Oryzias latipes: one gene and its partners. The protein of the gene in region 3 binds, or shares a complex with, the protein of the main gene of each other region. Links are inferred from orthologs where the notes say so. Each region holds a gene or a part of one and is shown on either strand. Other genes may lie near its edges. The genes, in order: cacnb1, dihydropyridine-sensitive L-type skeletal muscle calcium channel subunit alpha-1, stac3, cacnb2, voltage-dependent L-type calcium channel subunit alpha-1C and voltage-dependent L-type calcium channel subunit beta-3.

What was found.
Region 1: stac3 (region 3) and cacnb1 share a complex: the UniProt entries of both Homo sapiens proteins name them as parts of the calcium channel complex. The link is inferred for Oryzias latipes from reciprocal best matches to the Homo sapiens genes STAC3 and CACNB1.
Region 2: stac3 (region 3) and dihydropyridine-sensitive L-type skeletal muscle calcium channel subunit alpha-1 share a complex: the UniProt entries of both Homo sapiens proteins name them as parts of the calcium channel complex. The link is inferred for Oryzias latipes from reciprocal best matches to the Homo sapiens genes STAC3 and CACNA1S.
Region 4: stac3 (region 3) and cacnb2 share a complex: the UniProt entries of both Homo sapiens proteins name them as parts of the calcium channel complex. The link is inferred for Oryzias latipes from reciprocal best matches to the Homo sapiens genes STAC3 and CACNB2.
Region 5: stac3 (region 3) and voltage-dependent L-type calcium channel subunit alpha-1C share a complex: the UniProt entries of both Homo sapiens proteins name them as parts of the calcium channel complex. The link is inferred for Oryzias latipes from reciprocal best matches to the Homo sapiens genes STAC3 and CACNA1C.
Region 6: stac3 (region 3) and voltage-dependent L-type calcium channel subunit beta-3 share a complex: the UniProt entries of both Homo sapiens proteins name them as parts of the calcium channel complex. The link is inferred for Oryzias latipes from reciprocal best matches to the Homo sapiens genes STAC3 and CACNB3.

What each region holds. Positions count from the first base shown.
Region 1 is NC_019866.2:5,369,335-5,374,039, forward strand, and holds part of cacnb1 (voltage-dependent L-type calcium channel subunit beta-1), read right to left. Parts: coding exon 4,701-4,705; intron 4,616-4,700; coding exon 4,506-4,615; intron 3,877-4,505; coding exon 3,868-3,876; intron 2,070-3,867; coding exon 1,918-2,069; intron 581-1,917; coding exon 485-580; intron 392-484; coding exon 206-391; intron 1-205. UniProt on the Homo sapiens protein: Regulatory subunit of L-type calcium channels. Regulates the activity of L-type calcium channels that contain CACNA1A as pore-forming subunit.
Region 2 is NC_019865.2:11,942,851-11,947,555, reverse strand, and holds part of dihydropyridine-sensitive L-type skeletal muscle calcium channel subunit alpha-1, read left to right. Parts: intron 1-1,835; coding exon 1,836-1,905; intron 1,906-2,159; coding exon 2,160-2,292; intron 2,293-2,370; coding exon 2,371-2,500; intron 2,501-2,593; coding exon 2,594-2,653; intron 2,654-3,065; coding exon 3,066-3,172; intron 3,173-3,289; coding exon 3,290-3,377; intron 3,378-4,644; coding exon 4,645-4,705. UniProt on the Homo sapiens protein: Pore-forming, alpha-1S subunit of the voltage-gated calcium channel that gives rise to L-type calcium currents in skeletal muscle.
Region 3 is NC_019865.2:7,551,399-7,556,571, reverse strand, and holds the start of stac3 (SH3 and cysteine-rich domain-containing protein 3), read left to right. Parts: upstream 1-2,011; 5' UTR 2,012-2,319; intron 2,320-2,973; 5' UTR 2,974-3,006; coding exon 3,007-3,014; intron 3,015-3,452; coding exon 3,453-3,531; intron 3,532-3,801; coding exon 3,802-3,958; intron 3,959-4,106; coding exon 4,107-4,204; intron 4,205-4,374; coding exon 4,375-4,435; intron 4,436-4,746; coding exon 4,747-4,844; intron 4,845-4,979; coding exon 4,980-5,049; intron 5,050-5,173. UniProt on the Homo sapiens protein: Required for normal excitation-contraction coupling in skeletal muscle and for normal muscle contraction in response to membrane depolarization. Required for normal Ca(2+) release from the sarcplasmic reticulum, which ultimately leads to muscle contraction.
Region 4 is NC_019878.2:20,095,760-20,100,464, forward strand, and holds part of cacnb2 (voltage-dependent L-type calcium channel subunit beta-2), read right to left. Parts: intron 4,373-4,705; coding exon 4,292-4,372; intron 4,201-4,291; coding exon 4,142-4,200; intron 2,178-4,141; coding exon 2,068-2,177; intron 492-2,067; coding exon 340-491; intron 1-339. UniProt on the Homo sapiens protein: Beta subunit of voltage-dependent calcium channels which contributes to the function of the calcium channel by increasing peak calcium current. Plays a role in shifting voltage dependencies of activation and inactivation of the channel.
Region 5 is NC_019881.2:14,667,390-14,672,094, reverse strand, and holds part of voltage-dependent L-type calcium channel subunit alpha-1C, read right to left. Parts: intron 4,276-4,705; coding exon 4,113-4,275; intron 4,030-4,112; coding exon 3,902-4,029; intron 3,787-3,901; coding exon 3,690-3,786; intron 3,505-3,689; coding exon 3,402-3,504; intron 3,009-3,401; coding exon 2,907-3,008; intron 2,783-2,906; coding exon 2,655-2,782; intron 2,479-2,654; coding exon 2,344-2,478; coding exon of another isoform or gene 2,338-2,343; intron 1,034-2,337; coding exon 669-1,033; intron 490-668; coding exon 466-489; intron 1-465. UniProt on the Homo sapiens protein: Pore-forming, alpha-1C subunit of the voltage-gated calcium channel that gives rise to L-type calcium currents. Mediates influx of calcium ions into the cytoplasm, and thereby triggers calcium release from the sarcoplasm.
Region 6 is NC_019865.2:19,143,833-19,149,031, forward strand, and holds the start of voltage-dependent L-type calcium channel subunit beta-3, read right to left. Parts: upstream 3,188-5,199; 5' UTR 2,925-3,187; coding exon 2,844-2,924; intron 1,874-2,843; coding exon 1,781-1,873; intron 1-1,780. UniProt on the Homo sapiens protein: Regulatory subunit of the voltage-gated calcium channel that gives rise to L-type calcium currents. Increases CACNA1B peak calcium current and shifts the voltage dependencies of channel activation and inactivation.

The DNA of each region.
Region 1 (4,705 bases), on a different chromosome or scaffold from region 3:
AGCAGAAACCGGGCTTTATTGCACTACTCCTTCTGTCTAGCGAGAGCAGGCTGCAGAGGTCGGTTCAGGTTGCCGGAGTGCCCATCCCACACCGCAACGCCGTGCTTCAGACAGTGTGCTCTTCCTCTTTTCCCTCACTGGCTACAGCACCGTCCAAGTCAGGCCACAGATCCATGTTTCTGCGCAGGGAGGTGAGCACCTGTACCTGCAGGTTGGAGACGGGCTCGGGAGACGCAGCGAGGGCCGCCGTGGCCATAGTACGGTTGAGTAGGGGGTTGGGAGGGTTGCTGCTAGGTGGGTGTGTTGCCTTCCAATAAGCCTCCAGGTAGTCAGCCAGGTGTTCGCATGCGTCCTCCAGCTGGTTCTCATCCAGGATGATGTCAAACAGTTCCTGTGCCACAAACAAAGCAAGTCTTAGTTGGTGTTGCAGAAGCAGAGAATCAAAAATGTCCAAATAAAGTATAATTCCTAAATCAGGACTCACAGGTGGACATTGAGCCAGCTTGTCTGCTGCAACCATCTGAACGTTTAGATGTTTCGCCTGAGACTTTCCTCTGGATTTAATGAGCCTCTGGAGAACCTGCAGCGAGTCAACAGCAACAACTCAAATAGTACCGCATAAAAACAGGAGCTTGAAGCCAAGCTCATTTAAGAATGGGGCGTGGCCATTGGGGTAGGTGAAGCGTTCCAGCAAAAGTTTGTCCGTAAGATTCTAATTCAGCAACCTGATGGATGAGCGTGATGCATACAACGTTGTGGCGATGAGTGCTAAAATACATTTTTACTCTGTGAACTCTTTAAAAATACTGTACTTGATGCAAATATTCCCTTCATATCTCTAAGTGACACCACTATTGGAAAATCTTGTTTCAACTGTGCTCGAAAAAATAACAAGATCATACGTGCCCTGTTTCAGCAAAATGTAATTTCTGTTCCCTCTGCTGTTTTTTATTGGAGAAAATTTATTCCTGACTTGCCGTGGAAAAATGTTTGGACCCTGCATCAGAAATTATTAATTAATAACAAGATGAGAGACGTCTCCTACAAACTCCTACATAGAATCTATCCCACTAATCAATACATGATCAGATATAAGAAGACTATTGACCCCAACTGTACCTTTTGTAAAGAACACCCAGAAACAATCAGTCACCTATTTTGGAATTGTAATACTACTAAAAAACTTTGGAAAGATTGTGCATGTTTTATAAATTATAATTTAGATTCACAACATCAGATGAAATTTGAACATATCATATTTGTCCTACACGAAAAAAATATAAGATCAAACGTAAAATTGGCAATTAATCTAATTATAATATTTGGTAAATTTCATATTCATAAATCAAAGTTTTCTTCATCACAACTTTTTTTCCCTTTAATAATTAAAGAATTAGAATCTTATTTACATACTATTTCTAATAGTTTAAACAAAAAGGCCGTACATATTTATGAAAACTGTCTGTCTCTGAATATTTTCAATGCATAGCATTTGTAATCTTTTTGTAATACATGTACCATCCCCTGACATTGTTGTTGTTATGACTATTGTTCCTGTCATACATATTTGTTCCGTTTGTGTTGAATAATAAAGTTTATTAAAAAAAAAATCCACTCGAAGTACAAAAAAAAAAATAATAAAATACATTTTTACTTTGCCGTGTGTGAAAACAAATACAGGGCTGCAGTACACACTGTCAGAAAGAATGAAATAAAGCATATTAGGCAAACTCAAGTGCTCTTCTTCAACCCGTGACGCTGCTTCATCATATGTAAATTTGTTTTGGGTGTTTTTTATCCCCATTCTTGAAGCTCTCGTTTGAGCACCGGAACAATTTCAACAGCACCAGTTTGGCACCAGATGAAATTCCAAATGGTACCCATCCCTACAAATTAATACCAGACATGAAGGTTTACCTTGGGAGATGCTATTTTGATATAGACGATGATGGGAGCCAGAGAGGTCTTTGCCAGCTGAGTGGGGTGGTTGATGGTGTCTGCATCCAAAGCAACGAGCTGCAGGGTTCGGGCCAGCTCGAAGATGCGCTCAATCTCACTCTGCACCTCAGCTGACAGCACAGGAAAGAGACACAAATAAATAAACAAACAAAAAGTTATTAAAAAGCAGGCTGCTTTTATCTTTAAGGAGATGCAGCTTTGAACAGCAGTTAAATTCTCTTACTTTCTGCATAGTTATTAAACGAACATGTTAGTTCCTCACCGTGCACGTTTGGATTTTTTTTAAAAACAATGACAAAAGCCCACAAGCTTTCAAGGATGTAAATCAGGTTGGACCACAGTTTTAAGTTCCATTTATTCAGAGCTAAATGGAGCACTGGAGCATCTTCATTCAGTTGCCACCTCCAGACATTTCAGATTCTCTTAAGTGCTTCTGATCATTTCTAATTTGAGGTTGTAAAGGAAGGAGGCACTTAGAAATGAGATGCCTGTGGTACTTGAAATAGCTTACAATGAGGGCACAATTCTTCACCATGTAACCAAAACAGAAACAAACAAAATACAGATAAAAAAAACATACAGCATGGGGGGAGAAAACGTTTTTTTGTTAGCACAAATAGGCACAGCAAAATTATTGCATCAGGATAGCCATTCTAGACGGAGGACTTTTTGTTTTCATTGTTCCTCAGCCACAGCCAACCAGAGCTTTTGCATTTCAAGCGTAGTTCCAACATTCATCGAGAGGGAAAAAAATGGCGCCTGACATCATCTGCCGGAAGTGGAAAACATACAACTTACCTTAACCTTAACCCAGAAGTGATCAGAATTGTAAAAATAACATGCATTACAGCTTAAAACTGGAAATATTCTAGGTAAAACTTTATAATAACTATGGGTTATAGCTTGGTAAATTATTAACAAAACTGTAAGTTAACGAGTTATAAATAACTTTGTTAAGGATCTATAAATGTGCCTTTATAACTAAAAATTGATCATGAACAAGCATTTAATAAATTTCTCGACAACGATTTGTTAAGTATTAGGTAATGGCTTATCTGTTACTGGGATGTTGTTTCAAAGTGGAAAACATTCCTCATTTATTAACCGTTAAGAAAGGAGGGACATTTCCAACATTGATACACTGATGACTGTTATTTATAACCCATTAACTAACAGTTTATTCATGATTTATAATAGATGATTTATAATGATTTATAATAGATGATTATTATAAAGCATTACCAAACTGGAACTGGCAGGGTTTGCCAGTTTTTTTTCGAGCGATATGGGGCAGACTTCCGGTTCTGATTCTGGATGTCGATGTCTACAGCCAGGGTTAAACTGACAGCCAGAGTGCCCCTTGCCCTGGGGGTCAAACATCAGCACCTCCAAAGTTGTGCCAACTCAGCAGTGATGACAGATAACAGGCCGTTTAATCGACAGGGGCCCCATATTTCAGAAGCCTCCAGGAGGACTCCAAATTAAAGCTGTCCAGTCAGTCAGTCCAAGTGACAAGAAATGGGAACTTTTAAGGTAAGTAAATATGGATAACAACTGCAATAACTCAAGTTTTAACAGTATATAAAAGGTAAAGTCCAGCTCGTATAGGGGCCATTCAAGAGTCTTACTAAAGACGTACTGTATCCAGACTACTTTTAGGGGTAATTGCAATATGTGGTTTGAACAGCAGCAAGCAGTCGCCCACAGATCTCTGCCTGCGCGGGTTTCGTAATTCTTTCCTTTTTGTTCCAGACTGCAGGCTGTCACTCTGAGGTATGAGGAACAGAGAAACTGACAGGCAAACAGACAAACAATGTATGAGTACATGATGAATATAGTTAGGGGGGGAAAAGCGAAAAGAAGAGGGAGAGAAGCTGCATTGTTTCATTGCACGGAGAGCATACATACCCAGTACGTCTGAATCACAAGACAGAGAAGGAGGAGGAGGAAGAGGAAAGGTTTGGCAGAGTAAGGAGGATGGTTGAAGGGCACAAGAGACAAGATGAAAAGAGAGAAAAGGCCTAAATCAGACTCGATCAGAGGAGTTGTAAAAGCTTACAGGTCTTTTGATGAGGTACATCCTATGCTGTGTCTACCCTATTATGGCTAGGTCCTTAGATGAGTTATAACAAGTTGGATTCAAGGCTCCGAAGAATCCCTTTTTGGCATGTTGATCTAACATCAGCTCCTCCCAAAATGTTCTAATTTCTCCAATTTTTAATCACAAATTCCCCTGTGCCTGAGCAATCAAGTCAAACTGCAAGATGCAGCTACAAAAGCCAAAATAATAAATGTAGATTTGTGCTGAAGTTGGTTTGTGAGAATCAGAAACACATAAAAAATGTCTTTCTTGCTATTTGAATAAGCTGTTTGGAGTCTTATACTTTAAAAAAAAGTGTACCTAAAGAAACAGGGATATGGAAGAGACAGGAAAAGATGTTCAGCAACACGACACAATGAACAAACATCTTTAATTTTCCAGAGTTTCATTTTATAAAAGTTTTCACTGCCAGAAGACGTCTGGTCACCGAAGCGAGGTTTCTTACCCAGGCTGGAGCGAGTGCTGGAGCGCTCGATGATGGTGTGTTTGCTGGGGTTGTTCAGGACTGAACGTTTGGCCAGAGAGATGTCTGCTGTCACCCGCGTGATGGATATTCTGAAACAGAGATCCAGCACTTTACAGGATAAACGTATAACATTACAGGTCATGCATTGTTGAAGCCTTTTTTTTTTTCTTTTACCTTCC
Region 2 (4,705 bases), about 4.4 Mb from region 3:
TTCAGTTTCTTCTTCGACATTGATTATTCTGTCACTTAATTAAAACGATAAAGAAAATGGTATTTGACATTTCATTTTCAAAAAGTTCTCTGGTAAATGTGTAGCAAAATTCATTTAGAAATGTCTAATTTGACAATTAAAATGGATTAACAGTAATGCTTTTTCATTTTCAAAATGTAACTCCATCAAATGACTCAAAATTAAAATGAAAAAGCAATCCACCAAAATGCTTTTTCATTTTAAACTTTAATTCCGCTTATTCTGTGTCATAATTAAAAACGAAAATACAAAGAGGGGATTGCATTTTCATTTTAACATCCACCCTGCGAACATTGTCGCAAATATTCAATTCGAAAAAGCATTTCCAGCGAGGAGGCAGGGCGATGACGTCACTGATTTCTCCGTCTGTCCGGCTGCTAAGAGACACAGAGATGCTTGGAGCAGTGGAGCTTTGTGTTAGCAGCAGAGGAGACGGCTTTGTGATGGTTGTAAAAGGAAAAAGCATTTTGAAGGAATGCCTTTTCATTTTAACTTTGGGTCAAAAAATGCAGCGTCATTTTGAAAATGAAAAAGCATTTCTGGTTTTGACTTTTATTTTTAATTATGCTACAGAATCGCTTCCATACTCAAAACAGCTGTCAGATTTCATCATCATAGTTTAGGTGAAGGATCCAAAAAGCTTGCTTAGAGATTTCAGCTCTCAATTTCCACTGTGAGGAATATAGTGAGAAAATGGAAGTTCAGGCACAGTTCAAGCAAAGGCCCGGAGTTGCCGGCCCAGAAAAATCTCAGATAGGCAGAGGCGAAGGTTGGTGAGAACAATCAAACTCAACCCACAGACCAGCTCCAAAGACCTACAACGTGATCTGGCCGCAGACGGTGTCACTGTGCATCGGTCAACCATTCAGCGCACTTTGCACAAGGAGATGCTGTATGGAAGAGTAATGCGGAAGAAGCCTTTTCTGCGCACATGCCATAAACAGAGTCGCTTGAGGTATGCTAAAGCACATTTGGATAAGCCAGCTTCATTTTGGAATAAGGTGCTGTGGACTGATGAAACTAAAATGAAGTTATTTGGACATAACAAGGGGCGGTATGCTTGGCAAACAGAGAACACAGCATTCCAAGACAAACACTTACTATCCACAGTCAAATTTGGTGGCGGTTCCATCATGCTTTGGGGCTGTGTGGCCAGTGCAGGTACTGGAAATCTTGTCAAAGTTGAAGGTCGCATGGATTCCAGTCAGTATCAGCAGGTTCTTACAAACAATGTTCAAGAATCAATGACAAAGTTGAAGTTGCGCCGGGGCTGGATACTTCAACAAGACAATGACCCTAAACACTGCTCTAATTCTACAAAGACATTCATGCAGAGGAACAAGTACAATGTTCTGGAATGGCCATCTCAGTCCCCAGACCTGAATATTATTGAAAATCTGTGGTGTGATTTAAAGCGGGCGGTCCAAAATACCTTCAACCAGAATCCAGGCCCTTATTGAAAGTTATAGGAAGCGATTGGAGGCTGTCATTTCTGCAAAAGGAGGATCTACTAAATATTGATGGCATGTCTCTGTTGGGGTGCCCAAATTTACGCACCTGCCTATTTTTGTTTAAGTAATTAAAACACAGTTTCTTTAAATCCAATAAACTTCATTTCACTTCTCAAGTATCACTGTGTTCATCTGCTATATGATATATTTCACTGAAATTAATGATCCAAACAACCAATGATTTATGAAGAAAAATTTTGAAAATTATCAGGGGTGCCCAAACTTTCTCATACCACTGTAGATTGTGCTAAAGGATTATAACTTTATACTGTTTTTTGTTTTCAGCTTAAAGTCGATGAATTTGAGTCCAATGTCAATGAAGTGAAAGATCCATTTCCACCTGATGATTTTCCAGGTAAACCAGTTCATTTGTCTTCCTCTTCATTTATTGTTTTAATGTTGCTGACAGGTAAAAATCAGGGCAGTTGATCTCAACCAGCTCCTTGGGTTGTGTGCTGAGAATTTTAAAGCTGTTTTTAAGTCCATTGAGTGACAACCATCATAATTCGTACAGTCTGAAAATCCTCTCCCCAATCTTTGATTTAGTGTTTTATTCAATGCAAGTTGAAGTGCTGGTATTGTTCTGCAGTCTGTTTTTCTGCTTTTTAGGTGATGATGAGGAGGAAGAACCTGCAATCCCCCTAAGCCCTCGGCCTCGACCAATGGCAGACCTGCAGCTGAAGGAAGAAGCGGTTCCATTACCTGAAGCCAGTTCGTTTTATATTTTTGGCCCTCAGAACAAGTAAGATAATAAAAGAAGTGTTTCAAAGATAAAGATGTGTAAATTCTGTCTAGCTCATGTCTGTACTTTGCAATCCAGGTTCCGTAAACTGTGCTACAAGATCATCAACGCTTCGTCCTTCACCAACTTGATTCTACTTTTCATCCTGCTGTCCTCCATATCGCTGGCAGCTGAGGACCCCATCGATCCAAGGTCCTACAGAAACGAGGTGGAAGCCGAGTCAGACTCAGCATGTTGGACAACAATGGATGCAAGAGGCTGAGCTCTGAACTTAACCTAGTTTTTGTTCTTTTTTTTAAAGATCTTGGCTTATGCTGACATTGTTTTCACAACCATGTTTACCATTGAGATTGTGCTCAAGGTAAGGTCAACAAGCAACAACAACTATTTTGAGATCAGTTGTTTTGTGTCGTCTCTTTTTGTTGCTACTCAGTTTTCATTTTTAAAATAAAAAAATAAACAGTTCAGCGAATCCTGCAGTTTTAACCTTAGAGGAATGAATATCACCGGTATTACAATATAACATGTTTATTTATAGAGATTTAGTTTTACTAATATACGGAGTTAGTATTTTATTGACTTTGTGTGTTTGGTTGAACAAATCTAAATTTCACACAAAAGAAAAGGCAGGTAGTAGTAATAGTGGTAGTGATTAAATAAAGATGAAACTATCCAAATGTTTCTGGTTTATTCTTTATCTAACAAACCGAATGACAAAAGCAGACCTAAAATTATATATAAAGTGTAACTTTATTTTATTGTGTCACGGACAGATGACGGTGTACGGCGCTTTCATGCATGAAGGCTCGTTCTGTCGTAATTCTTTCAACATCCTGGATCTGATTGTGGTCACAGTGTCGCTCCTGTCCATGGGAATGGAGTGAGTTTCAGGATCACACAAGACACTGTTGTCACTTTTCACTGAAATACATGTTTTTATTTTTTATTTTTAAAACACACATGTATGATTATTGCTTTTACTATGTACTGCCTGCAGGTCCAGTGCAATTTCTGTGGTCAAGATTCTCAGGGTGCTGAGAGTGCTGAGACCTCTCAGAGCCATCAACCGAGCCAAAGGACTGAAGGTACAAGACATGCATCGACTGTCCTGCTCAAAAAAATTATGTATACAGGCAATCAGTAAGATACTTAAACTGGAAATTTTGCATAGAACTCCACCTTGTATGTAGGTGGCTGATAAATGAATACATCTATAATAACTTTCATGCATTCATGAACAAATGTCAGTATTCTATTTCTGTAGAACTGACTAAAACCTCAGTCTGATTTAACCCCCCCCCCCCCCCCCCCCCTGTCCTTTTGCGTAACAATTGACAGCTCCTGCAGCAGCAGTCGCTTATTATTTTACAGTCTGGCACTAGTCAGAACTGCAGCAGTTACAAAACATTCACTGTACCAGTTAATAATATATCTCACGCTTAAAGTTGGCCTTGATTTACTGGAAGCAGAACAAAACTTTGTTTGCTGTCATCACACATTAAAGAATGTATATAAAACACCTGAAGGGTCTGATCAATAATCAATCATTCAACTTTAGTCTTCTTCTGCTGCTGTTTTGGGCTGATATCTGATCTGCTTTAAATAGGTTTTTACAGGTAATACATGCAAAGTAAAAGAAAAAATAGAATACCCTAAAGTTACAAAAAAAGTGGGAGGAAAATCAAAGCTGGGGAGCATAAATAAAGAATCAAAGAACATCTGAATATCCCTTTTAGTTCACATTTGGTACTGGTGTTCTTAGATCACAGTCTTGCTCCATGGCTTAGTCTTTCCCAAACTTTAGTTTTGCGTTCTGAAGTAGTTTATTAGAAAAATTGTCAGCCAATCCAAGGACTGCAAAACCCAAACCATCAACCAACCACCGCCATGCACAGTGAAATGAAATGCTGTGTTTCTCCAAAGGTCATTGAATAAAAAGCATTGTAGTTTTGCTCAATAAACTTTAGAAACTTTATGATATAGGCATTTTTTCTGGCAACTTAAATTAAAAAAATGATTTGTAATATTCATATCATATTTGACTAATTATTTGAGTCTTATCAGATTCTGGTTTTCAAACAGCAAAATCTAAATGCTTCCAAAACCAGACCAACGCTTGGGGTCAAGCAGTGCTGAAAAGATCGTTCTGAACACGAGTAATGGGAAAGAACGGCTGATGAATAATGAACAAATAAAACTTTTACACACTTTTACAATGATATTTTAAAAATACTCTTGTCTTCTTTCAAAGATTTTTCATTTATTTTTGGGCCCTTATAACAGAAAGAAAATACTTTTAAAGCGTTTGACTGTTCCATTTCTCAGTACTTATCGCTGTTCTCTTTTCCACAGCATGTTGTCCAGTGTGTGTTTGTGGCCATTAAAACAATTGGAAACATTGTGCTGGTCACCA
Region 3 (5,173 bases):
TTTTCTAAAGTCAAAGAGAAACAATTGTTTTACTGTTGGAACATAAAAATGGCATGTCAAATACCTTGTCATCTTTGAAAAGCCAGGATCTGTTTTGGCTATGGTATCCACAGTCCAATGAGCATGCTGGTGGGTTACACCTACTGCCAGTGAAAACTGACTCCTCCAAACACTTGGAATTTATTCTCCCAGAAGAAAGTACAAACTTTCAGGCTAACTTTTAACGGTTTCGACTGTTTGGATCACATCAGAATAGAAGCTTAAATGACGAAGCAAAGCCTGCAAAGAAAAGATAGAAGCCGATTATGTAACCTGGCAGAGCGAGAATTGCAAATACATCTGCCAATTTTTGATAACTGATCTCAGCCAGACATTTTTGAAAACAAATGGTTAAACGAGATGCAATGGTCTTCAAAGGGAGACAATTATCAGAGACCAGCCTAGGAGGCACTTTTAGTAATTAAAAAGGGTGTGTTTCTGGGTAGGCCCGTAGTTTGCAGATTTGCTAACTAAAATTGACACAACTGCTCCCAAAAAGCAGCTAAAACAAATCAAACAACAACGAAATTAGTCTAATAACAAACGACGGAGTTTACGACGTGTGTGGCAAACAAACACTGAAATATTTTACACTGATGACACGGCAGCTAGCGTGAAAGCTAATAGCCGGGCTAGCAGGCTAAGACTACTTTGTAGTATGTTGTCGTGACAGCTGTCAGGCGCACAAAACACTCTGATGCAAAAACTCTTGTATTAGCAACGGTTACAAGAGGCATCCCGTGCAAAACATTGTCTCGAAATAAACACAACAACTTTCCTATTCGAATTACTATGATTCACTTACTTACAGATATCCGTTAGAGGAGGTAGCCACAACAAACAACAAATGCTGATTAACCTTTTTTGCATTAAGCTCCGTGTTGGCTAAGTTTTGAAGTCTCCGCTTTTGGATCGCGGGTGAATCAAGTTAGCTAGTTAGCAAGGCGACTAGCCAGTGAATGTTTTGAAAATGGTTGGTACTTTCAACAATTAAGCGAGACTTTAACCATTACATAATCTAATTCACGAATTAGCGATGTTAACCAGCTATCAAGATTTACGCAACGTCTGACCGTCAGGTTTAAAAACAAAGAGCAGTAGCGCTTCATTTCACTGCGCTTGAGTTCCTGGGTAACCGCTACGAGCTATGCTAGTTAGCAAAGCTAAAGGACTGAAATTTACTTGGTTCTGGAGAGTCCCAGCAAAACCGAGGGATGTCCCGCTCCCCGTCCACAACGATCCGGCCGTTGCTTTTAGTCTCCGTTCTGCTGAACCGTGTGGAATTCACATTCAATTCAACAACCATAACGACCTATGTGATCCCAAATTCACATTTGCTCCTTGTGTTTTTTTTCTTTCCCTTTTTCTTACAAATTCCAAGCAAAAGAAAAAAGAAAAAAAAATAATAATGGAGTTTTCTTTTGGGCATGCGCACTCAGCGCGTCAGGAATATTGTACCCAAAATGCAACGGGACCTTTGTAACGCTTGTCTAGCGCAGGTTGGAGCGTCCTGACAGAGGACACTGCATATATATCTATATATCCATTTATATCTATATCTATATAGATATATATGCATCTACATATCTATATATCTAGATATATAGAGATATAGATATGTAGAGAGATTTTAAACTTTAAAACCAAGTCCAGATGACATCCCCTAAACCTACTACAATGGAACCAACCTGGATGAATGAGAGTCTTCATAGACATACATATAGAGATATGTATATAGATAGATATAGATATAAAGATCTATATCTATCTATATACATAGATAGATAGATAGATAGATAGATAGATAGATAGATAGATAGATAGATAGATAGATAGATAGATAGATAGGGGGGAGTGTGTGTATCCCCTTTTCCTCCCGACTCAGGCTTAGTGAGAGATACTCAGCTGTTGCAAACTGTCAAGTTCACTCAGTAATGCCAAGCCTGCCATGCACAAAAATACACACACTTGGGCATCCATAAATAGTTAGATCTTTCCAGTCCCTTTACACTATTTTGTATATTGGCATATGTAAATATATATTACTTTAGTGAGGTTACATTCAAAGTGTAAAATCCTCTGAAGCGAATATCAAGAAACCACAAATAGGGGACCAAAGGCCAAAAGGCCTGAACTGACAGGACATTTTGGGCGGCTGCTTTGTTGGAGTCAGTAGCACAGATCGTACGCCACACCAGTCATCGTCTTTTGCTCAAGACCCACCATAGAGTTTTGACAATATACTGGATTTGTAACTTCCTCCGTGGTCTTTCACTTAAGGTAGGCTACCATTGCATATATAAACAATGCCTGTTAATAACCATTTCTGTTTCTGTTCTGTAAGTAGATTAAATTTGTTAAGTGAATTGTTCACCACTCTTAAAATCTGTGTGGTTTATTTAAAACAATTTTGTTCAAGATGATAGCTTGGATTTCGTTACGTTTTTTTTCCTGACTAGAAAAAAATCCAAAATTTAGCAATTATGAGATTTCAAAACCCAAAAAGAGTTTGGGTAAAGCTGTAGGTGACAATTTGCAAAATCCAAGTTACACTGTCAAACACAAAATAATGAAGCATATTTGTTTTGTTTTGTTTTTTTACAAAAAATTTCTTTCTGTATTTGATATTTCAACTTTTGCTGTGTGAAATTGTAGGTTGGTTAATATAAACATGCGAAAGTAAATCTGTGGCTAAATACATTTTACATTGGCATTTGTCTATTTTTAAACACTGGCAGTCATAAAATCCTAAACATAGAAACGTAAGGGAGTGATTATATGAACTCTCACAATTAAAAAAGAAAAGAGGTCCTTTCAGATGTACATAAAATATAATATTTTATAAACCAAAGTTTTTATTTTATTGAAATCATTTAGAAATTCTAAATTTTAAGTCAATCAACCCCATGTCAAACGTTGTTCCATTATTTCTAGGTTGGAAAGTGTTGACTTTGTCTGCATTGCATCATGGATCAGTGAGTACAGATCCACTCATCATTTGTTCCGTCAGTGTCAAAATGTTATAAGCTTGTTAGTTATCAATTAACTTAAAACTCAACTTGATAAGTGATACTATTAGAGATCTTTTTTGCAATGAGGTCAAAGTCTACCTATTAATTTCTATAAAATAATTAACTGAAGTTATTTTATAAAATTGTATCGTTTAAGACGAGTGTCTTTTGTAACTTGGAGTAGATTTTTCTTCTGATTACATGGTTTCCATGATGCTTGTTTTTTTTTCCCTAGTCTGTCATGGTAAAATAAGTTCAGTAAGTTCTCCTTTAGTGTCATTGCTGAATAAACATGCACCAGTAGTAAACCTTTGAGTTTTATTTATTAATTCCAAAATTGTGTTTTTTTCCCAATCCGTGGCTTCGGCAGCTTATAGTTTTTTCCACGTTTATTTATCTCAGGGAGGATGACAAAAACTCTGTGGATATTCATGACAATCCTCCAGTCCCTGACAATGTAGTGAGGGAGGAGGGAGACACAGTGAGTGACAGCACCATGCCAACCACCCACCATTAGGGCCATTCCCAGGATGTTTAAAATAGCCACCAGTTGGAACAAGGCTGCAGTCCACTGTCAATTCTGAAAATATGACCTCAGATTTAGATTTCCCTGAAGATAGTTTTATACATGTAGTCTAGACAGTTTGTTTCATTGCCAAAACTCTGACTCATACAAATCGAGATTCTTTATGAACACCACCCTTAACATGTTTCACATTTTCTGCCTAAGCTGTTTCTGCTATTTCTCAAGGTCTACTTCATATATGAAGAGGAAGTTGAAGTGGAGGAAAAGGAACCAGAACCTCCCCCGGAACCCATTCTTCGGATCAATGACAAACCCCACAAATTCAAGGATCACTACTGCAAGAAACCTAAGTTCTGCGATGTCTGTGCTCGCATGATAGTCTGTATGTGCTCACCAGGATACGCAAATACACAACCAGTCCTGTTAAATTTCCCAAAGAAATGTGTTTAGATTGACTTTTCATAGTGATGCTATTTTCTACATCAAAATGATGTGTGACTTTTACTGTTTTTCATTTGCACATCTTGCAGTGAACAACAAGTTTTGTCTGAGGTGTAAAAACTGCAAAACCAATATCCACCATTCATGCCAATCCTATGTCGAGTTCCAGAAGTGTTTTGGCAAAATTGTGAGTTTTATTCATCATAAAAAATGTTATATTTTACACTGATATCAAAGAATATGCAGTCAAATAGATAGACAGTCAATAAAATCTGTGCAAACTCAGATTATTGTGTTTTATAATTCAAAGGCTATAAACTCTTATGAATATTTTATTTTTTATTTTTGTGTTTCTAGCCACCTGGATTTAGAAGAGCTTACAGCTCCCCTTTGTATGGCAGTGACCAACCCGATCCAAGTGAGTCCAGAAAAGTTAGCTCAAAATAGACATGATTATCATAATCACTATTTTGAAAAAAAGAAAGTTACTTGTGTTGGAAAATTGCTGTAGCTGATTCAACAATATAATTGAAATAAAGAAAAATTACACCAGTTTGTACAGAAAATCTCCTTTTGGCTTAGCATAAAAATTAGATTACATCTTCAAAGGTGACATCTAACCTGGACTGTAGGCTTCTGCATTACTAGTCTTTTTAAATATTACTATCAAGCAGTCAAAATTAAATAGATAAATTATTGATTCAGCTCAATAATTTTGCATTCCACCAGATAATCCAAACCGGAATGACCCCGTCTTTGACACCCTGAGAGTGGGCGTCATAATGGCAAACAAGGAGCGCAAAAAGAATGAAAACGACAAAAAAAATGTGAGTGAAGTCTTCCTGTCTCAAACCTAAATTTAGAGTATCAACAAATGATGATGTAAACACTTTACAATGTTTGTGTTCATATAGATGAATAAAAAAACTCAGAATGATAACTCAGTTTTACTTTCTCTCTAGTTGATGATGATGGAGGAAGAGGAGGAGGAGGAGAACCAACAACCCAAAGAGCATGAAGAAGGAGGAGAAGGTATAAATTAAAACTGTTGGTTACTTGCCTTCTGTGGGAAAAATAACTAATATTTTCCTATGAAAATCATAAAAACTACAAAATTTAACCAGCAAACAGAAAATACTTGGTGGACATAGTTTAT
Region 4 (4,705 bases), on a different chromosome or scaffold from region 3:
TTCTTTGATCTCGCTGTGAGAAAAGATTCAGTCTGCTGCCGCTCTGATTTACAGCCTGCGTCTGTTCCGCCGTGCCTTTCCTGCATTTTCCCTGTTGCTCTGTTCTTTATCGATCTCTGACTCATGAGCCTGTTTTACACTTTCTAAAGGTCAGAGCGATGAATCAGCCACCTTTTTGGATCCTGCGGCGTGTGACGTGCCGAATTCCGAAGTCAAGCAAGACAAAGACGAATGGTTTCCAAAACAAAACCGAGATAAATGCAAGCATGAAGTATGGCCTGAACGGCTCTTTATTACGAGAGAACATTCGTCGAACGAGTGCATTTGTCATGTGGTCACCTTTGGAGAGGTGATCTTGACATAGACGATGATGGGGGCGAGGGAAGTCTTTCCCAGCTGTGACGGGTGGTTTATAGTGTCGGCATCCAGAACCACCAGCTGTAACGTCCTGGCCAGTTCAAAGATCCGCTCGATCTCACTCTGGACTTCAGCTGCAGAGGAAAACAATCATTTGGATTAATACCATTCGTATTTTACATTTTCAAATTAAGTTTAAAATAGACATCGTAATAAGAAGAGGTTAGAATTACACAGTCTAAAGGAACAACAAGTAAGTGTTTGTCAGTGTCCTCTCAGATTAAATGGGCCTTAAACCCCTTCCAAATTAAACTGATTATTCAATTTTTACCAAAACCTAAAAATAACAGTACATTGGCTTTGCGTGGCTTCAAATGCAACGGCCAGTGCTGCAATCCGTCACAGCTAGAACACCTGAACATTCAACAAGGCCTCGTTTATTACAGACTTGTTATCCTATTTTACAAACTCATATTCCGCAGGAGACCAGAGGAGAAAGCACGTCCTCCTTTAATACGCCGTTAAAGGCACGGCTGCACTATGTATCACTTTGTCTTCCAGGGAACACAAACCTAAGACATCATGACTAGAGGGATGAGGCATACGGAGAAAACTGATAGCTCTAAGAGGAGCGACGGCTCGTATGTTACCTCTGACAAGGAGTGACTTTTATAACCCAATCTCCAAAATGAGAAACATGGCAGCCATTTATTTCCCATTCTGCTTATATTTATAAGTTCTAAACATTTTTTATTTTTTTTTACAATTTTATTCTCATAAAATTAAAACATTTTCTCATAATTTTACAGCTTAAGTCTTGTAACATTGTTTTTGATCATTTTATGATGGTATTCGTGTTAATTTTTACTTTAGTTACTTTTTTATTATTATTTTTTAAATTTTCTTCATTAATTTACCTTTAAATCTGTTCTTTACTTAACAACTTTTACTAAACACAAATTTTTTAACTATAATTCCACAATCAACCTCAAATGGTACAAAAACTCAACCCTGAGTAATAATTTTTTTCACTTTTTTAATGCAATATCACAAAAATTAAAAAAACTATGGGGTTTCACAACAAAAAATAAACATGTGGGGACAAAAAACTAACAGAGCAAAGATAAAGCCAAAACAATGTGAAAAAAGTTTTTTAAAAATAGTTGAAACTAAAGGGGAATCACATGTTTATGTCCTGAAAAACCTTTTTTAAAATTTTACATTTTGAATAAAACCAAATTCCTTCATTGTTGTAAACAGTTGATATGACTGGCATACTCAATAGTGAGTTGAGAAACTACTGATGGCTAAAATATCAGAAATTAAACATCAATTATGCCATATGAACATTTCAAAAGGATGTTTGTGTTCTTTTGTCTAAATTTACAAAGACTTCTGCTTGTTAATGAATGTTTCTGGTGATAAATATCAGAGATTAGCCCCGTCACCTCCGTTTGACGCCAGAATCTCTTTCATTCTAATCTGAAATACAATCCATCTGAGCGTTATGGAGCGTTTCTGCTCTACCTTTGATTTCCAAACCAACAAGGCCGGCCGATGCAGCTCTGAGCCTTTCAGGAGTTATCGTTACCATTTTCAAGGGTTTCTTTAATTGTTTCCTTCCTCCTGCGTTTAAAGTGGTCTCCTTGAGAACATTATGAATCAAAACACCAGATGTTTCCAGGTTGTGTGGATTCACGACAGGCTTACCCAAGTTTGAGCGCGTGTTGGAACGTTCGATGATGGCGTGCTTGCTGGGGTTATTCAGGACGGAGCGTTTGGCCAGAGAGATGTCCGCCGTGACGCGAGTGATTGATATTCTGACACAAAAGACAGGAAAAGCAAGTGTATGAGTGGAAAAATATGGACTCGATTTATGATTTTTTTTCAACCCCTCACATGTTCTGCAAACACATTCTTTATGATTATTGCTGATTTTGACAGACAATTGCAATGGAAAGTATGAATTAGTAACAACAAAATTTGTGGATTTTAAACAGAAACATGCTTTTGCACAGAGAGAGCAGTTTTAGGTAACATTTAAACACTGTTTCCTCACCAAATAAAGCTGGATGGTCAGACAACATAATACGCTAAAATTAAAAAATAGTATAATGGAGTCTTTGTAGTGTTCTTTCAAATTTTAATCTAACATTTTTATCCACTTTGATCGGTAACTGACCTGCTGTTATGAGTCTGCTTCCGTCTGATCTCTAACTAAGGAAGAAATCCAAGCTAACGGACAGCTGAACTCCCAATAAAGAGTCACTCTGATGAAAACGGTGCTTTTAACACGTTCTGATGGATTTTTTCTGATAAGAAAATTAAGCAAAAATTTGTCTTTTTTGAGTATTTCTTTATTTAAATTGTTGTAAATCAGGAGCAGACAAAAAAATGCTTTTGTTTTTGTTTTGTTAAGTAAAAAATACGCCGGACTGGCCAAAAGATCCCTGCGCCAACTAGATCCATGTACGTCTTTGTTTATATCTTATCCGATCTGGCATCTGGCTTCAAACTGCATTGCTGGATAATTCCAACATTGCTTTCCATTTTTGTTGCACTGAGGGGCTGTCAGCTAGTGGTACAGCATGTGAACAGAGAGCTCTCAGTAACAGGAAGGGGAAAGAAGGGCAGGGTTGCTCCGCCCACAAGTCAGAGAGGAATTTCTAATGAATCTGCAGAAACCATGTTCTAGAAAATAAAACAGATTTTTGGATTTTGGATAAAATTTGCATTAGCATAATAAAAAGACCACTGGAAACACTTTTAGAATAGATCACAGGATGATCATGCAAACACTTTTTTAACTTTTAAGTGTATTATAACATTAATTCCTCACAAAAAAGCAGTATTTTGATCCATTCATGCATTTCTGAGTATTCCACCAGCCCCTCCTAATCCATGAAACCGAGTGGATTCTCCCAAGCTGAAGTAGATAAGTGAGAACAGCCCCTTCCAAGAAGAGTCTGTGCTTCCAGTACCCCCCCACAGGCTAACACAATTTCTCCGCAGAGCTAATGGTGATTGGCTAAAACACTTCATTTTACCACCACAATATGCACATCCATCTTTACAAAAGTTTGGATATTGTTTGTTGCCGAGTTTGGCGCTAGGTTGACGTCATGAAGTGGGCGTCACCCACAGGGAGAGAAAGGCGGAGCTTCAGAGATCGAGTCGTCTTACTTCCGGGTTGGAAAACTAGCTGCGAAAAATAACTCATATTTGATAAAAAAAAGCATTCTTTAGTGTGCCAAAGGTAACATAACATAATATATATGGATATAGTTTACTCTGAAAGGCTTAAGAAAAGCATCATATAGGCCCGCCTTTTGTTTTAGATGTATTTTACGAAAACACTATCTTTTCTGTCAATCTGAGACTACTTTACTTCTCTAAAAGCATCAATTCTTGGATTAAACATTTTAAAGTTGTCTTAGAAATACACATAATTGTTGAAAAACTGGAATAAAAATAATAGAGAGTAAATGACTCATTAAAACATGGTAGGTGCAGCTGCCGCTGGACTGAACTGATCTTGTGTAACTTCAAGGTCTCAACACTGAATAAAGAGAATCTTGCTCCACTTCAAGACCCACTATGGCCTATTAAGGACATGCAGAGGGGGCTATTTAAAGCAACAGCACACATCTCCAGGCACAACAAACTTGTTACACACTCCCTCTGCTAACCTCAGGGGACAGATAAATACCAGTGTGGACACGGAGAGAGGAGGAATGAGGGAGGAAACATGAATTGGAGCTCGTAAAGGTCACAGGAAACGTACCTTCCCTCAAACCTGTGTTTCAAGAAGTCAAAAAGAGCTTTTTGCATCATGTCGGTCACCTGGTAACAGAAGAGCCAGAGGAGATAACAGCTAAAGTCAATCAGGAAGTGCGCAGAAAGATAGATTAGAAGATAGATAGTTTGGGCAAACCTCATAGCCCTTCAGCGATGGTCCCACCAGAACCACGGGCCGCATGGAAGGCACAACGTCGTATGGAGGAATGTGTTCCGTCTTTGGAAATAAAGAAAAACAAAGTAGTTATAACACAGTGAGAATAAGTTAACCATATCACAAATGACATGAGAGGTTGAAACAACAGCTTTGGAACCATGAAACTAGATGTTAACAGGGAACCAAAAAGCCTCAAGTTAGCTTTGATGTGTAATGAGATGAGGTATAATAAGATTTGGCACTTTGCTTGAATCTTAATGTTGTTAGCTTTTTTTTTTAGTTTTTTCATTGGATGTTACAACAAATACAATTTCATGGCCCCTCCTGTCGCCTCATGGTTCTGATGTCACTCAAAGAAAAGAAGCAAAGTTGGGGGAAAGATTGGTCGGAGAG
Region 5 (4,705 bases), on a different chromosome or scaffold from region 3:
GTTGAGACAAATATAAAGCAATAACTCAAAAGCACATAAGTAGCTTTTACAAAAATATAGACTGATCTCATTGTATTGTAACATTTTGAACTAATGAATAACTTTATTTTTTTAATGGTCTAAAAACAAGATGAGTATCAGCTTTCAGATGTTTGCATAGATGAAGAAAAAGGAGCTAAAACAGAGTCTAACCCAGACCTGCCACAGTGTGCAATAATAGAGCAGCAACACAAGGTAGATAGGAGAGGTTTGGCCATGTGACACCAAACAGTCTATCTGCAGCTTAGCTGGCTAATCTTTAAAGTAGCAGCACTTTTACTATAGCAACTAAAGCATTTTGTGCATAGCAACAAATGCCACTGTTGTGCCATGACAGCTATGCTCTTTTCCATACTGCATCATCATTTTATGCGCACTCAAAACAGACAAACATTCATTCTCTTTCTCTGTCCCCTGGCAACATACCGCATGAGGGTGTCATAAAACATCCTGCATGCCAACAGAAATAGAAGACAAGGAGAAAAAGCAGGTAAATAAAGAGGCGGTGAAAGAAATAGTTTGTTGACTGTGAAAACTTTTCTTTACAGTCAGGGATAGAGAAAAAAGTTATTGTAAAAGGTTTTATATGAAGGAAAATCTTTACGTGGTCTACGGAGACTTGCGCTCACCTTTTTGGAGGGAAGCACCATGCGGACCTTGGCAGCAGGATGGGTGTCAGTGGCTGCCCAGTGTGTCCATCTACAGTGCTTATAGAAGGGCTCGGAAATCGACTGACACCCTGGTTGGCCACGCCAGTCACGCTGGTGTTGTTGGCGTTGTTGATGTTGGCGTTGGAGCCTGATGATGAGTAGGAGGAAGGGGTAAAGGTGGTTGAGTCCATAAGTTTCTCGTGGGATGGGCTTTCGCCTTCGCAAGGGGAGCCTTTCTGGCTGATATGCAAAGGACGCTGGGTGGTAAAGGACTGTGGGAAGGAGCTGCGGCCATCGCTTTGGTTGTAGTAGTTGACATGGTTGCCAAACAAGCCACCAGAACGCTGTGTGAGTAAAGAAAAACAGATGAATAAAGAAAAAAACAAAAGCATAAATGCAACATTAACATTTACTGCTTGCAGCAATCCAGCCTTATATCAGCCATGATGACAATGGAACGCAAGAGTTTAGCCATTTAACAGATGAATACCTGCAATGTGCTATGAATAAACATCAGAATTTATATATATAAACATAAAACAATTTGAAAATACAAAAAAAATATTAAAGACCCACTCTGATCCTTTTTTGATCTATTGTAAAAGCGTTTCCAGTTGTTTTTTCATTATAATAATGCAATTTTTAGCCAAAAACGGTAAAAATCTGTGTCCTTCTTGTTCTCTAGGACATATTTTCTGCAGAGCAGCAGTAGTTCATTAGAAATTCACCTCTGATTTGTGGGCGGAACAGTTGGCGCAGAGCAACCCTGTCCCCCCTCCCTTCCCCGTTGCTAAGAGTTTTCTTCTTACATGATCTCCTGCTATCTTACAGCCCCCCCACACCCCCAACCCAACATTACCGTTGCACCGAACATGGCGAGCAATTTTAGAGCTATCCAGTAGTTTAGTTTTGAGCCAGAAGCCAGATTGGATCAAGAAAAAAAAGATGTACATGGATCTATTCGCTTTTAAGTGGGTGCGGTGCATGAGAATGGAGCAAGCCAGGGAGCTTGTGGCCCCATAGGGATATTTTCCATGTCACAAATAAGCTATTTTCAAATGCCATGCTCTTTAGTCACAATGATTTGAAAAAGAAATACACAGAAATGCAATTTTAAGCTTAATTTTTTTTCAAATATATGTCTTATATCATCAAAGAAATGCCACAAGAACATGCTAAAAACACCCAAAATATTCATTAGAGCAGGTCTTTAAATTATGGTATTTATATTTTTTATTGTATTTGTCTTACATGTTAGAATGAAATAAAATAAAACAGAAATTGCTAAAAAGAAATTTACATTGAAACAACGCATTAAAGAAGGCAAAGGAAAGTTGCAGAGGAACTAAAGGTGTTAATACTTACAGTGACAGTGGTCTGTTATTTGCCAAAATGTATATAGAAAATTTTTTTAGACTCATTTTGCGCGTTTTTTTCCCCCTTAGAAAACTTTCATTAAACTGCAGCATCAGTGTTCAGCGTTAATGTGCAGCAAAGCCTTGTGGTCAAACATGCAGCTTTTGCAAGATGTCCTCTCCGGGCTCTGACCACATGCAAGCATGGTAATGCATGTGGTGAAGCTTCAAGCTGGCGCTGATCATGTCTGGGTCTCTCTCTGTGAGAGTGCGTGAGGGTGTATGCATCCAACCTTTACCCTGAAGATATCATCCTCAGATGCTGCTGACACAGGTTCCTTCATCCCTTTATCCATTTCCTCCTCCACATTCAGGTCTCCCGAGATGGCCCTTCTAATCTCTGGACCAATGTCATGCAATGTCCGCAGGCCTGCCTGCATGCACAAAAACACACCACCAGAAGTTCCTTTCTTTTTCTTGTTCATTTCTTATAGAAAAAATGTCAACTTGTAATTTTATTAAACACTACCTTTGTTTTCTTATTGTCTTGATAACTTAAATAGCATAATTAAACATGTAAAATACAATGTAAATGCAATTCTGCATGTACCTGCAGAGAGAGTGCAGTTTTGGGGGGCACCTTGCCCACCAGCCCCTGTTCTTTCCTCTTCTTAAACTTGCGGAAATACTCTTGGATGAGGAAAGTAGCATAGAACTTCCCGACTGTAACCTCATCATCTGGAAGCAACACAGTGACCATTATTCACTTAGTGGACGGGTATTTTTAGAAGTTCTGTAAAAGATGTACTATTTTTCAAGTAAGATTTTGACCAGCCTTAACTGTCTTGAAAAATACACCTACCACCAGCAGGGGGCACTACTTGATCCAGGAGTTTCATGCTTGTTCTTTTCCAGATCTTTTTTACAATTGCCCTCAGTTCCTCATTAGCTTGCTCCAAGTTTCCTGCATATACAAAACAAAACATATATATTGTAGTCTTGCATGTCATGAGTTTGCGTGTCATCTTTGATCTATTTTAAAAAGCGTTCCCAGTGGGTTTTAAAAAATATATATTTATGCCACTTTTAGCCCAAAGCAAAAAACCTGTGTTGTTTGTTAGGACATAGTTTCAGCAGAGCAGCAGGGGTTTATTAGAAATTTGCCTCATAGTTGAGGGTGGAACTGTTAGTGTGGAGTAAGCCCACCCCTTAATTTACTTTGGTCCTCCATCATGGGAAAAATGCCACAAAAACATGGTAAAAACACCAAACACATGATTATCATTGGAGTGGGTCTTTAAAGAGCAGTTAGGTGGAAGTTACTTCAGTTCTGTTTGTCGTATTACGTGCATCTTACCGTCAGTTTTGATTCTGAGGGCAGTTCTGACCAATGCGAACAGTGTGGCATTGAACATCACCGTTCCATCGCTGTTCAGAGGCATGTTCATTGACACCAGACGCTACATAATGAAATAAACCAAAAGGAAAACATAAGATAACACACATGGCCAAAAACTAACCCTCTCTTATTGAGCATTTGATGCCAGCTTTGGTGTCAACTTCTTAATTCTAGTAAAAAAAAACATTCTGAAACCCTTTTACATTTATTTTTGTGTATTTTCTTTTATAATTGTGTCAGCTTTACCTTGCAAGCCACCCTGTGTGGGCAGAGCTTTCCAAATCCCAGAGGAGGCTGAATTCTCCGCAGCAAAGTGACTACATCAAGATGTTTTATTCGACCCCTTTAGAATTAAAGAAAATAAAAGACATTACATTAAAAAATTCAGCAACGGTTTGACAGACAAAAGCAACACTATCATTCTGAAAGTGTCTAATGCTTTCTCTCCTTAAACTCACTTAGCTTCTGGGTCATATTCAGCCCAGATTCTTTTGAATTCATCAAGATGGTGCGGTCCCAAGATCGACCAATCCCGTGTCAGGTAGTCAAAGTTGTCCATAATTACAGCCACAAATAGATTGATGATCTGCAGAGAAGCAGGAATCAGTAAGTGAGTTTGGAACTGTTATCTGGAAAAGGGAATCTTCCTTGTTCAGCCGTCTGTCTCACCAAAAAGGCACAAAGCATGTAGAAGCTGACGAAGTAAATGATGGCAAACTGGCTGCCACATTCCTCACTGGCGGTGCTGTTTTCATTGGTTGACCCTTTCTCACAGGGTCGGTTGGGTGAACACGCCAGCATGATCTCCTGCCATGCCTCGCCTGTCGCACATCTGATAAGCAGCAAAGATTATCCAACAATACAAAGAGAAGAACACAAGAAAAAATGCAAAATTAGTTGATAATTAATTCTTCATAATGCAGTTACACCATGTTAAAAATGTGATAATCAATTTTAAGACTGTGCTTAATAAGGTGCTTTTTTCCCCTGAACTCCCATGTCAACATATTTGCATCTTAAACTAACATTATTGAGAGCAAAAACTTACCAATGGTGTCATAATTGAAACTATCTAAATCTAATAAAAAATTAAACAACACTTTTTGTTGTTGTTGTGGATTTCATCAGTTTCAAAAATATCCTAATAACAAAATAAAAAAATTGAATTTTCTGTCAATTCTTTGATGTAGTGGGATTTACAGGGTTAAAGACGCCTTTATTTAGCCTTCTGCTCCCATTACCTGCTGGTGACATTACAGCAA
Region 6 (5,199 bases), about 12 Mb from region 3:
ACCCATTCACTCTCACACTCACACCTATGGACAATTTAGAATTGCCAATTAACCTATAAAGCATGCTTTTGGACGGTGGGAGGAAGCCAAAGACCCCGGAGAGAACCCACGCTTGAACGGGGAGAACATGCAAACTCCAAAGAGAAAGGTCCCCCGTTGATGTAGTTTTTCACATCCCCCAGCCGGGACCTGAACCGGAGACCTTCTTGCTGTGAGGCAAGAGCGCTAACCACTGTGACACTGTGCAGCCAGAGAATGCTAATATGAGATATGAAATCCAACCAGTAGTCTGCGAATATATTGGGTTCATGTTAGAGCTCGGTTGATCCAATCAATTAATCAATCTGAATTGATCAAAGACTAATAAAAAAATAATCAATTAATAAGAGTAGAGATCGATCTTTTGTGCATTTCCTTTACCGGTGTCTTAACGCATACCAGCAGTAAAGTTGAAGTCACTTAGCCTGATGCTAACGTATAATGAAATTTCCCATAGGACGGCTAATGCTAACGCTCGGTCGACCTTAACACATGTGTCGCTGACTAAATGAACAGCTTTATATACTCCAAATATACTCCAAACTATTTCAAGGAAACATTATTTTTTAAGTAACCATTTGTGGTCTAAAGCATCGTTTTTTACTCAAATCTTCTCGTAGAATGTGTGACGCAATAGCGTTAGCTCCACCTAGTGGCCAAACTGAAACGCCCTCCAGGAGAGGCAGAACACAACGATCTGCACATTTTTGTTGGAGCTTCTCTGTTGTTGAAACCTATGTAACACAGTATGGTGCCAACAACGTAATTGGTGTATTATTTCACTAATACATTTTACAGTATGTGAACTGTATCAGATTCATATGAATATCTTTAAAACATGTATAGATTATTCATGGATTTCTATGCAATTATGTCTAAATGTGTAAACCATGTAAATTCAAAAATAAATGGAATCAGTCCAAGCCTGGTGAATCAAATTGATTCTCGAAATATTTGGTGATACCCAGCTCTAGTTCATATATTTGTAAATCTGGCTCTGAAAGGGAGTCTTAAAAGTTTCAATGAGAAGCACTTCTGCATCAAACAGGTCAAGCTGGCCATTTATCTGCGTTTTTTCTGTCATTGGCAGATCCTGCTGTTTTCTTTCCAAAGACTGTACACATCTGGAGCTCAAACTCCTCACACCAAACAGAAAACCTCATAAACAGCAGTGTGGTCAATAACAACTCTTCTTTTGAAGGAACTCTTACCAAATCGACTGACTAGGAAGACATAACTAACAAACACAGGACGACAACTTTGTGCTTTTTTTCGCATCCAGACATATCACCTTAAATAAAGCGGATTCTCCACCTGAGTCTTCCTGAAAACAGTAATTAAAAAGCAGAAGATTGTGTTGGGATTGTTTTTAAACACAAACCTTTGGCTGCCCTTTGCTGGTAATATATATGTAAGCAACTAAAGACTGCTGGGTGAAAAAAATGAACAGAAACTGTCAATTATTGCAACACAAAAATGAAAAAGACCCAGCTAGAAATATCTTTGTGACTGCCTCATAGAACTAGTTAATCTTGAAAAATAGTGGTTGATGGCTTATAGTCCAGTGAAACACTACAAACACGGCTAGTAGTGTTCAAGAGCTTTGTTCAACGCTCATCTACATTTTCCATAGGATATTTCCAACTGCTGTCACTGATAGTCTTTGATGATCTGTGTTTGAATGTCAGCGGCAGCCAGAAATACACACGGAATAAATGAATGCAGGAACAGAGCTGTTTACCTGCCGTTTGATGAAGCTGGAGGTGGTGTCAGAAGAAGTGCTGCCATCGGAGCGTTTGAAGCGGCTCTTGCGCTTAGGCAGTTTCCTGGGCAGCTGAGTGGGGAAAAAAGACACAGAGGAGTTTAGAAGACAAAAAAAAAAAGACTCAGATGGAAGGTTTCTTAATGCTTAGATGGTTTTTAGAAGGTGTTGGAATGAATGGAATTCTTACTTTTGTGCACCGAAGTCCTTTTGGTGCACAAAAGTAGTGTATTTTCAAGACTGTCAAGCCCATAAGAGATGACATTTAGAACATTTGTTATAAAGTATACGTGAATGCAAACAAGATCATCCAAGAATCAAATGAGGCACAAAATAAAATAACTTTGATGTAACATTTTTGTTAGACAAAAATGGCAAAAATGCTATTTAAGAAAAGAAAAAAAAAGTCACAAATGAACTTGGATGTAATGCAAACTAACTAATCATCTGAAAACACCACAAACTACATGATTAGTGAGTGTCCTAGTGCTTTAAAGCAGATGTGGGAGTTTATATTTTTTGTGGTGCTCTCTGCTGCCTAAATTTCACAATCTTGCCATACCCACAGAAGAAGCAGGAGCTGCAAAAATCCCAGGGATACTTAGATTGTATAAAATTATATATGTGTGCGTGTGTGGATTTAGGCCACAGGTGGCACAGAGTGACAGAGTCTGCACGCTAACACCAACAAAAACACCTGCAAAACCGGGATGCTGCTGTGTGGCTGCACTGACTGTCAGAAAAACACACAGAATTTGATAGGAAAGCTTTAAAAAATTATATTTAGGCCTGATATGTGGCCAAAAATCCATCGATATTTAAGCGGAGTATAATTAAAACATGGTGGATGAATGTATGGGCTCGATGATCGATCCGCAGTGAGGTGGGAGTACAGCGGGGAAAAGAACTATCAGCTTGCCAAAAAAAAAACCAGAGAAAAAACGCGACGCCTCGAAATGGAACAACAAGTAGCTTTTTTAGACACCAGCGAGCCATTTTCCATCGCACCTCCCCTGCTGCGGACGGAGGGGCCGAGATTTACCTGAAAATACTGCGACTGCGAGCCGGTTTCCACGGCAGACAGCGGGTCCACAGGCGATTTGGACATTTTGACTTGCACCATCTATCGAAAGCGCAGGGAGGCGGGATGCACACACAGACATGGGTTACTGGAGGGAGCCAGAAGAACTAAGTGCATCAGGCGGAGCGAAGAGACGGTCGATAGCAAAGAAAGAAATATGTCAAATAAGCCATAATATCTTCCAATAAGAAAGAAAAAAACATGTTCTGATGGAGCAAACGTTGAGCGAGTGGGGGAAAACGGAGGTTTATTTGAACCGTTGACGCCGAGGCGTCATCGCACGAGCTCGGTAGGTCCGTACTAAGTGTGCGGGTTTGCCGGGGGTGTCGCGGTCGACTGAACCGACGCCAAATTTAATCTAAACAAGCATACAAACACTAAACTGCAAACCTTTTTACCTAAATAAAAATACGAATTCATTTTAAATTCCGTTTTTTTCTTAATTTCTGAAAGCGTTCTTTTTTTTCTCTCACGGGGAGCAAAAAACCTGAAAGCCGATGAGTAAAAGTGGGACTTCAGGAGATTCGGGTTGTTTAGATTTAGGAGAGGTTTCCCTACACGTTTTTTTCTTTATTTTATTATTATTTTTTTTAGCTAAACAATTGCAGAAAACACAAACGTCAACTATTACAAACACAGTTTCATCCTTGCTATACTTCTTTAACTTTTTTTTTAGATTAAAGTCCCATTCCAATAAAAATCGTATTTTGGATGTAAACATGGTCTTGTGCCTTTTTCTCATAATGGAGGAAAGATTTAAACTCAATTTCTTGGTATTTCTTTATTCAAATCGTTGTGAATCAAGGGCAGATGAAAAACTGCAGTTGGAAAAAGCTTTTTGCAGTGACGTACGTGCTACAGTAGGCGACGAGCTCCCTGCTCTCTTTTTCATTTGTTGCTGTTTTCCTTTGGCCCCTTTGTTTAATTTTGTCTTTCTTTGCGCAATTCTATGAAAAAAAGTGTGAATTTTCTTAAATGTTTTTAAATAAAGAAATAAATAACAAGCTCCCTGCTGTGCTCCATTCTGATGCATCCACTTGCAGACAAATAGATCCACATCTTTGTTTTCCTTGTCATTGGCATCGGGCTCAAAACTGTACGACTGGATAGCTCCAACATTGCTCACCGTTTTTGTTGCACCGATAATGTTAACTTGGGGTTTTGAGGGGCTGTAAACTAGCAGGAGGAAGTGTAAAGAAAGGGATGATGGCAAATGAGGGCAGGCTTACTCTGCGCTATCAGTCCTGCCAAAATTGGGAGGCGAATTTCTGATCAACTCTTGCCAGTTCCTCTAAGAATCAGGGCCTATGGAGGCTGGACTTGAATTGACGTTGCTGATGACATCAAAAACTTGGTAAAACCCTTGAGGAGGACACGAGTCTTAAAGCTCCTGATGTTCTTCTATTATCTAGGCACTAGGTTCCCCTCTTAATAAAAGGGCAGGTCATTATCTTATACTACAAGATAATGACATTGAGGTTGTTTTTTAGATATGAAACACTAGACCAGCTCTTTGGATTGGTGTAATCCTTAAAGTTTTCATGTCCCAAAACAATTTGTTGACTTGGGAAAAGCATTTAACTGCCTGCCTTGGGATACTTAGTTGTGTAATAAACATGGTCCCACAATTAATGTGGTACTATTTCACAATGAAGGTACAACTGTTTTGAACCAACAAAAGTGTTTGTCATAGTGAAAGGGTTGAAGATTAGGATTAGACAGCCTAAACCACATGGCATCAAAATGAACCAAAACCTCTTTCTGCAAGGTGCCATAACCTAATGGAGAAAAAACAAAGAACCATCCTATCCATCTTCAGAACCCACTGAATCCCTTTTGGGGTGCCAATCCAGCCACTATTGGGTGAAGGCATAGTTCTCCCTTAACAGGTTGTCAGTCTCTTGCAGGGCCACACATTCACACCTAGAGGCAATTTTTAGAGACACCAATTAGCCTATGAAGTACGTTATTGGACTGTGGGAGGATGTGCCCGAGTGCCTGAAGAAAATCCATGCATGTATGAGAAGAATGGGCAAGCTCCACATGGAGGAGCGCAGCTAACTGGAAGAAAAGCCAGGCGCTTATTGCTGTGAGGCAAGAGGGCTAACCACTACACCACTGTGCAGCCCCAAATAAACCTTATACTTCTCATTGTAAAAAATGGAAAAAAAGGTCTTCTGCTTTTAAACACAGTGATAGTCTTGCTATGCACTAAGCTAATGACTTTGATTAAAGTGAAGGAAAAATCGAACATTTGAAAAAAACAAAAAAAACAACAACCAATAATCGTGAGTGTTGCTTGTTTCCTAACTGTCCC